Mus musculus: one gene and its partner. The protein of the gene in region 2 interacts with the protein of the main gene of each other region in a pairwise test. Links are inferred from orthologs where the notes say so. Each region holds a gene or a part of one and is shown on either strand. Other genes may lie near its edges.

Evidence for each region. The genes of interacting proteins can lie anywhere in the genome.
Region 1: the proteins of Banp (region 2) and Tnxb interact in binary tests that used the Homo sapiens proteins (3 or more experiments, as listed by UniProt). The two-hybrid records come from large-scale screens. The link is inferred for Mus musculus from reciprocal best matches to the Homo sapiens genes BANP and TNXB.

The regions. Positions count from the first base shown.
Region 1 is NC_000083.6:34,717,697-34,720,404, forward strand, and holds the end of Tnxb (tenascin-X precursor), read left to right. Parts: coding exon 1-113; intron 114-202; coding exon 203-333; intron 334-455; coding exon 456-588; intron 589-686; coding exon 687-838; intron 839-938; coding exon 939-1,035; intron 1,036-1,121; coding exon 1,122-1,283; intron 1,284-1,364; coding exon 1,365-1,528; intron 1,529-1,734; exon of another isoform or gene 1,735-1,829; coding exon 1,830-1,931; 3' UTR 1,932-2,119; downstream 2,120-2,708. UniProt on the Homo sapiens protein: Appears to mediate interactions between cells and the extracellular matrix. Substrate-adhesion molecule that appears to inhibit cell migration. Accelerates collagen fibril formation. May play a role in supporting the growth of epithelial tumors.
Region 2 is NC_000074.6:121,949,030-121,953,590, forward strand, and holds the start of Banp (protein BANP), read left to right. Parts: upstream 1-1,462; 5' UTR 1,463-1,619; intron 1,620-4,561. UniProt on the Homo sapiens protein: Controls V(D)J recombination during T-cell development by repressing T-cell receptor (TCR) beta enhancer function. Binds to scaffold/matrix attachment region beta (S/MARbeta), an ATC-rich DNA sequence located upstream of the TCR beta enhancer.

The DNA.
Region 1 (2,708 bases), on a different chromosome or scaffold from region 2:
CGCTGTGGACTACCCACTGACTGACCTGGCACTCGACACCAATTACACAGCCACCGTGCGTGGTCTCCGGGGTCCTAACTTCACCTCCCCAGCCAGCATAACCTTCACCACAGGTATAGCCACGGCTGCGTGTGGGTCACAGGAGATTGAGGAGAATAGACATGGGCCTCATTTTTGTCTCTTTCCATCCTTCTCCTTCCAGGGTTAAAGCCCCCCCAGGACTTGGAGGCCAAGGAAGTGACTCCTCGCACGGCCCTGCTCACTTGGACTGAGCCTGAAGTCCCACCCACAGGCTACCTGCTCAGCTTTGACACCCCTGGAGGACAGATTCAGGTACCCCACTTCACTGGCCATCAGCATTCCACGCGGCTTGATTTGGAGGTGCCTCCTCTAGCTCTCCTAGAGAGTCTCCATCTGGCCCTCCACTGACATGTCTGTCCCTCGTCTGTCTCCAGGAAATCCTGCTTCCAGCAGGAACCACCTCGCACAGGCTTCTGCGCCTCTTCCCCTCCACCTTCTACAGTGCCCAGCTGCGGGCCATCTGGGGCGAGAGCCTTACACCTCCCGTGCTCACTTCCTTTACTACTGGTACTGGCTCTGGGGTTTGAGCTTCGCGGGGGTTGGGGGGCTCTGGGATCTGAGGTTTGGGGAGGAGAACAGACAGACTCTCCACCTCCTCTCCGCAGGTGGGCTGCGGATCCCCTTCCCCCGGGACTGTGGGGAGGAGCTGAAGAATGGGCCCAGTGCCTCAAAGACCACCACCATCTTCCTCAATGGCAACCGTGAGCGGCCTTTGGATGTGTTCTGTGACATGGAGACTGATGGAGGTGGTTGGCTGGTGGGTTCCATTCAGAGCCCGGCTCCCTGCTTATCACTGTGTAGCACAGGAGACGATGCAGGGGAACCACAGGCTGACTTTGGCCTTGATTGCTTTCCAGGTGTTCCAGCGCCGCATGGATGGACAGACGGACTTCTGGAGAGACTGGGAGGAGTACGCCCATGGTTTTGGGAACATTTCCGGGGAATTCTGGCTGGGTCCGTGCTTCATAGGGCTGGGGAGCCAGGGAAGGGATGGCAGTCCAGTGAACCCCAGTACCCTGATGAAGCATGCTCCACCCCAGGCAACGAGGCCCTGCACAGCCTAACACAGGCTGGAGACTATTCTCTGCGTGTGGACCTGCGGGCCGGAAAGGAAGCCGTGTTCGCCCAGTATGACTTCTTCCGTGTAGACTCAGCAAAGGAGAACTACCGCCTACACCTTGAGGGCTACCATGGGACTGCAGGTAAGTGTGGGCACAGATGATGTGGGGGCGGGTGGGCACGAGGCGGGGTGATCCTCACTATGTCTTCGCATGCCCTGCCAGGCGACTCTATGAGCTACCACAGTGGCAGTGTCTTTTCTGCCCGTGATCGAGACCCCAACAACTTGCTCATCTCTTGCGCTGTCTCTTATCGTGGGGCTTGGTGGTACAGGAACTGTCACTACGCCAACCTCAATGGGCTCTATGGGAGCACAGTGGATCACCAGGTGGGGGCCGTGGGGACCACAGGACTCCACGTTGGGATCTGGGTGACCCGGGCTGAAGTCCTCTCACATGAAGGGCTGAACTCGTGCCTCAGAGGCTCAACTGTGAAATGAGACACTCATGCCAACCTTGCTGAGGAAACTTGAAGAGACCATTTATTACTGGGCAGAAGGCACCAGCTCAGGGATCATGGGGGAGATGGCTGGACCCTGGGAGTCACCTACAGGAGCAGGGTGGGGCTGGATTAGGTGGCATTGATATGGCACTGTCTTGACTCTCTTCCCTTGACAACCCTCTCCTCAGGGAGTGAGCTGGTACCACTGGAAGGGCTTCGAGTTCTCTGTGCCCTTCACGGAAATGAAGCTGCGACCCAGAAACTTCCAGGTCCCCACCAGGGGCACCTGAGCCTGCTGCCCACCTCACTCACACCCCGGTATGACTGCCGAGCACTGAGGGGTTGTGCCCAGAGAAGAGCCAGCATGCCACACCAAGGAGGCCTTCTCTGCCACAATCTCACAGCACCATGTTTACAGGGGGGGAGGGGAGGGGAAATGGAGCAATAAAGGAGAAACTGAGGCACTAGGCTCATCCTATCCTGTCAAGGTTTTCTCACCCAGTTCTTGGGCTGCCAGGTTTCTGGGCTGCAGCCGCACCTGGAAAGGAGGAATCAGGAGATTGATGCCAGCATAAAGCTGGGGCTGCAGGGAGGGCAGGGTTCCATCTGGTGGAGGCAGCAGAGTGAAGGCCTGCAGCAGACGAGCCAGCACCACAAAGAGCTCCAGCCGTGCCAGAGGCTCTCCCAGGCACACGCGTGCCCCACAGCCAAAGGATGGTGTTCTGGGATTCTTGCCAGGTTCCAGGAAGCGATCTGTGGGTAGTAGATGGAGAGCTAGAGAAGTTTGTCCCAGCAGAGGCCGGCCCTCTCCCGCTCCCTTTCCTGTCTGCCTCATACCTGGCCAGAACTTGCTGGGCAGTTCCCAAACCATCTCATCCAGGTTGGCGCCTTGGATGTTGGGGATGATGACCATATCCTTGGGGATGTTATAGCCAGAGATGCTGAGGGAAAGGTGGAGTCAGGAGCTGTCGAGGTCTTCCTCCCTCAACCCTTACCCCCAGGGAATCACCTGCTAGCCTTAGTTGCACGATGGGGCAAGGCCAAGGGCACCACAGGCCGCAAATGCA
Region 2 (4,561 bases):
GTGACATGCTGGGGATGACGTCACCATTACTCTGTTTTTCCGTGCGGTCAGGCATTCATGTTCAGAACTCTCACAACTACAGTTTTAAAATCTGGGCCCAATTGAGGGGCGGTGGGAGGAGATAGTACAACTCTCTAAGAGTTTCTGGCCAAGTTCCTCGTAGTTCCTCTGGGCTTAGCTTTCTTTCTTTTTATTTTAAAGATTTATTTATTTATTTCATGTATGTGGGTACACTGTCACTGTCTTCAGACACACCAGAAGAGGGCATTGGGTTCCCATTACAGATGGTTGTGAGCCATCATGTAGTTCCTGGGGTTTGAACTCAGGACCTCTGGAAGAGCAGTCAGTGCTTTTTTTTTTTTTTTTTTTTTTTTCCCCAAATGAGACAGGGCTTCTCTGTATAACTCTGGCTGTCCTGGAACTCACTCTGTAGATTGGGCTGGCTCGAACTCAGAAATCTGGCTGCCTTTACCTTCCAAGTGCTGGGATTAAAGGTGTGCGCCACCACTGCCCAGCAGGTCTCATTTTAACAGCACAGTTCTAGGTTGAAATCTTCAAGACAATCCTGAGGTAAAGTGGCACAGGATCAAACCCCAGACAGAGCACAGTGGTTTAGAAGGGCTGTCCCAAGGTTGCCCAGCTGGTAGCTGCACTGAGTCATGGCTTTATTATCGGCACAGGGGAACGGGCAGGAAACAGGTTTTTGTTTTGTTTAGTTTTCTAAGTGAAAATAACTCCTGTAATCCCGGTTTGTAGGATTGCTCACTGCGAACATGCAGAAGGGGACAGCCTGGAAAGGAACACTGACGACAGACCAGGTGCAGAGAACCATTAGTGGCATTTCTGGCAACAAATGCACATCGATGCTGCATAGCTCCTATTGCATGATACGTAAGCATGTCACATATAATCTCTATCACAGTGACAGTGTCCCCACGACCAGCTTGTCCATAAGGAAGTCAGGCAACTTTCCAGACAATGCCACTGAACGAGCCCGGAACGTCTGAGACCGATGCCAGGTAGAGTAGGTAGGACGGGTTTGGGAGCGTACAGCCCATTTGAGCCGCTGACACTACAAGTCCCAGCAGCCCTCAGGGCAGGGAAGGCATGGGGCAGCCAGAATCCGGATGGACTACAAATCCCAGCAGGCAAATCATGGCCGCAGAGACTACCAGTCCCAGGACGCATCGTGCCACACACAGCGCACACTGGGATTTGTAGTCGTCAGGGCAGCGTTAGTGTGTTCACACCCATCAAAGAGGACGTACATTCCTCAGATTGAACACTGGAGGATTTACTGCTTTAGCAAGTAACATGGACGTGAGATGGGGAAGTAAGGGCCCAGCGAGTCAACTCTCGGAGCAGGGGAGGACAACTGCGCATGCTCGTTGGAGTCCGTCGGCGAAAGCGCGCGCCAGAGGCGCCCAGAGCAGGCCCCGCCCCCTTCCCGACCGGCCCCGCCCTTGAGCCGGGAGCCCAGGGAGCCTGCGCTGAGGGCGGGGCGCAGGCCGTGGGGAGGCGCTCGCGGCGCCTGCGCAGAGCGGCTGCTTCTCTCGCGAGGACGGACGCCATTATCGCAGCTCCCCGACAAACACCACGAGAATTCCGCAGCCCACACGGTAATTGCAGCTCCCGCAGCCGGTCGCGCCTCCACTCCCCCTTCCCGCGGGGCGAGAGCGAGAGCGAGAGCGAGATCTCCGGCCGCCCCCGCCCCGCCCCGCCGCCAACCGTCGCCAACGGCCACGGGGCCGCACGCCGGGCTGGGCGGGGGCCGGCGGGCCGCGGGATGTCCGCGCGTCGCCTCCGCGCCTCCACCCGCCGGGGCTGCGGGACCCGGGAAGCGAGCGAGCGAGCGGGCGAGCGGCCGAGGCCCGGCGGCCGTGCTCGCGTGCGTTCGGCTCCGGGGCCTCGGCGCCTCCCGGGCCCGCGCCCGGCGCTCCTGTCACGGGCTCGGCGCGCGGGCGCTGTGGCCCTGGCTCGGCCGCCCAAGTCTCTCAGGACTGAGCCTCGCGCGCTGCGCCCGGGCCCCGCGCGCCGCCCCGCCGCCTAGGTGGCCCCATCTCCCGGCCGTTGTTGGCGCTATGCCCCGGTAACCGGGTGACTTCGCCCTGGTTGGCGCGTCCGCCCGCCTCTGCTCTGCTCTCTGTTGACATCGGGGCCGAGACTGGTGCTCGCTTCCCCACCTAGCGTCACGTCCCCGTCCCGCACAGCCTGGCTCTTTTTTTTCCTTGTTACTTGTGGTGGCCTTTGTTTCTCTGCTCCTGGTGACATTGTAACTTCTCGGAGATAGTGTGGAACCTCCGGCTTCCCTCTACCTCCTCTCTGCCTTTCTTCTAATCTGGGTTGGGGACGCTTTAGGCGGGTGCAGGTAGGTCCCGAGGTCTTTCTTTCGCTGCACGCCTGGTCAGCTCAGGACGCAGTGTTTCAGTCAGCTTTCTTCTTGAGTCCCCAGGGAGCCTCTGCCAAGGACTTCCTTTCTGGTAACTGTTTCCTCCCTGGACCGGCCTAAGGTCTTCTTGGCATTGGAACAGGTCTGCCCTTCGCAGGTATGCTCGGTAGGCGTGTCCTCGAGCGCTGGGAGATTGTCCCAAGAGCCTTTCTTAAAGTCGTTAGAGAGTTTGTCGCCCTCCCCCCCACCCCCGCCCCATTTGGGCACACTACTTGAGTTTCTTTATCTTTCTATTCCTTTTTGATTTTCATTCCAGGAAAGAACTTCAGTTTATCTTTCACCCCAGTGGCGCAGGACTTTTAATTCCAAGCACTTAGGAGACAGAGGCAGGTGGATCTTTGCCAGTTTGAGGCAACCTCGTTTACATAGTGTTTACATAGGCAACCTCCCCTATCTCGGGGAGGGGGCCGGCGAATCCACCATCAGAATTGTAGTTTCTGAGCAGGGCATAGAGAGGTACACACCTCTAGCCCCAGCACTTGGGAGGCAGAGGCAGGCGGATCTCTTAAGTCTGACACCATCCTGCTCTACAGAGTGAGTTCTAGGACAGCCAGAACTACACAGAGAAACCTTGTCTTGAAAAACGAAACAAACAAAAAAAAATTTCTGAATGTATTTGTTCTTTTCCTTTTGTTCAGTAGTTTGTTTCATGAATATGTTTTCTCTTTCAGGCTGAGAAAACTATTAGGGGTTCTTTTCAGTTCTCTTATCTGACTTCTTGTTTATCACTTTTGGGGGGTGGGTGGTAAATGTTAGCTTCTTGCTTTGGATGGCAGGTCCTCCAATAGTGCTAATTATTATTGCTTAAACCTTAGACTTTAAGGTAAGAGGAAACTGGCAGGGGGCCCTGGGTCTGTGGAGAGGGGTTTAAAAATGGTTTTCCCCACTAGTGTCTGGGAGAGGTTGTTACCTCAAGACTTGGAGGACCACATAACAGACACCTTATATCTGGGCTGTTTATGCATCTTCCAGGGTCTGTCTCCCTTTGCTTGGAAGCTGTTTTGCTTGTCAGGGGTGGCTGTGGAGACTGCTGAGGGCCAGGTGGGGCCTGGAGCCCCACTCCTGTGTCCTGCAAGCTATCTAGATCCTCTGTCAGAAGTTTAAGTCTTTGGCTGTGCTCTATTTTCTTGTGAGCTGATTGTACTGTAGTAAGTATTTTAGTGGGGTAAGTGGAGATTGTTTACAAGGCCACTCATCTTGAACAGGAATTTCAAAGCCTGTTGTCTTCATTCAGACAATTTGTCTCCTTCCATTTTTTGCTCTTTGTGACGGATGTGTGCCAGAACATGGTGTCTGGCTGCCTCCAGTTGACTGGGTGGTCCTTTGGTAGGGTACCGGGATGCAGAGGACTGGTCCCACACTGAGATTAGGATGCAGAGGACTGGTCCCACACTGAGATTAGGCACTTGATTTGACTTGTCTGGTGAGCTCTGAGTTTAGCCTCTTCACTTTGTTGCTGGGCTAGTGCAAGTAGCTAGCATATTATGCATGGTTCATTGATCCCGAGGTGCGCAGTGCAGTGTTTGCCGCGCCCATAGCACAGGGATAGCGAGGCGCTGTTTTGGGCTGGCACCCTTGCCCAGGGCCTTGCAGCAGAGTCCACAGCAACCCACACTTCATGAGCATTCTGAGGTCCACCTGCAGAGTTAGTCTGTGGTTAAGAATTTCAGAGAAACTGAATGAGCTTCCTCTTCCCCTTCATTTTCTCTCTTGGCTAACAGGAAGGTTACCTAGATTATAAAGACCATACACACGTTTCAATGTCCCACTGACATCTTTTGTTTGTTTTGTTTCAGGATGTAATTCAAGACTCCATACTCTAGTTGTCATATCTCCTCCAGTCTGCTATTTTCGTTATCCCAAAGTATCCAGTGTTTATAAGTTTTGGCAGGAAAAACGTGCAGTTTCTGGAAAAAGCCCAGCAGATACTGTAGTGTTTGTTGGATTGAGGCTATGTGGTCAATAGAGACACTGATATCAAATACCCCAGGAGATAGACTAAGAACATCAGCTTTCTGCTAGACATGCAGTGTATTCACGAGAACACGTCAGATGCAGGTGGGGAGGGGTGATGACTAGAATTCTGACTAGTACTGCTCGAGGTGAGGGGCT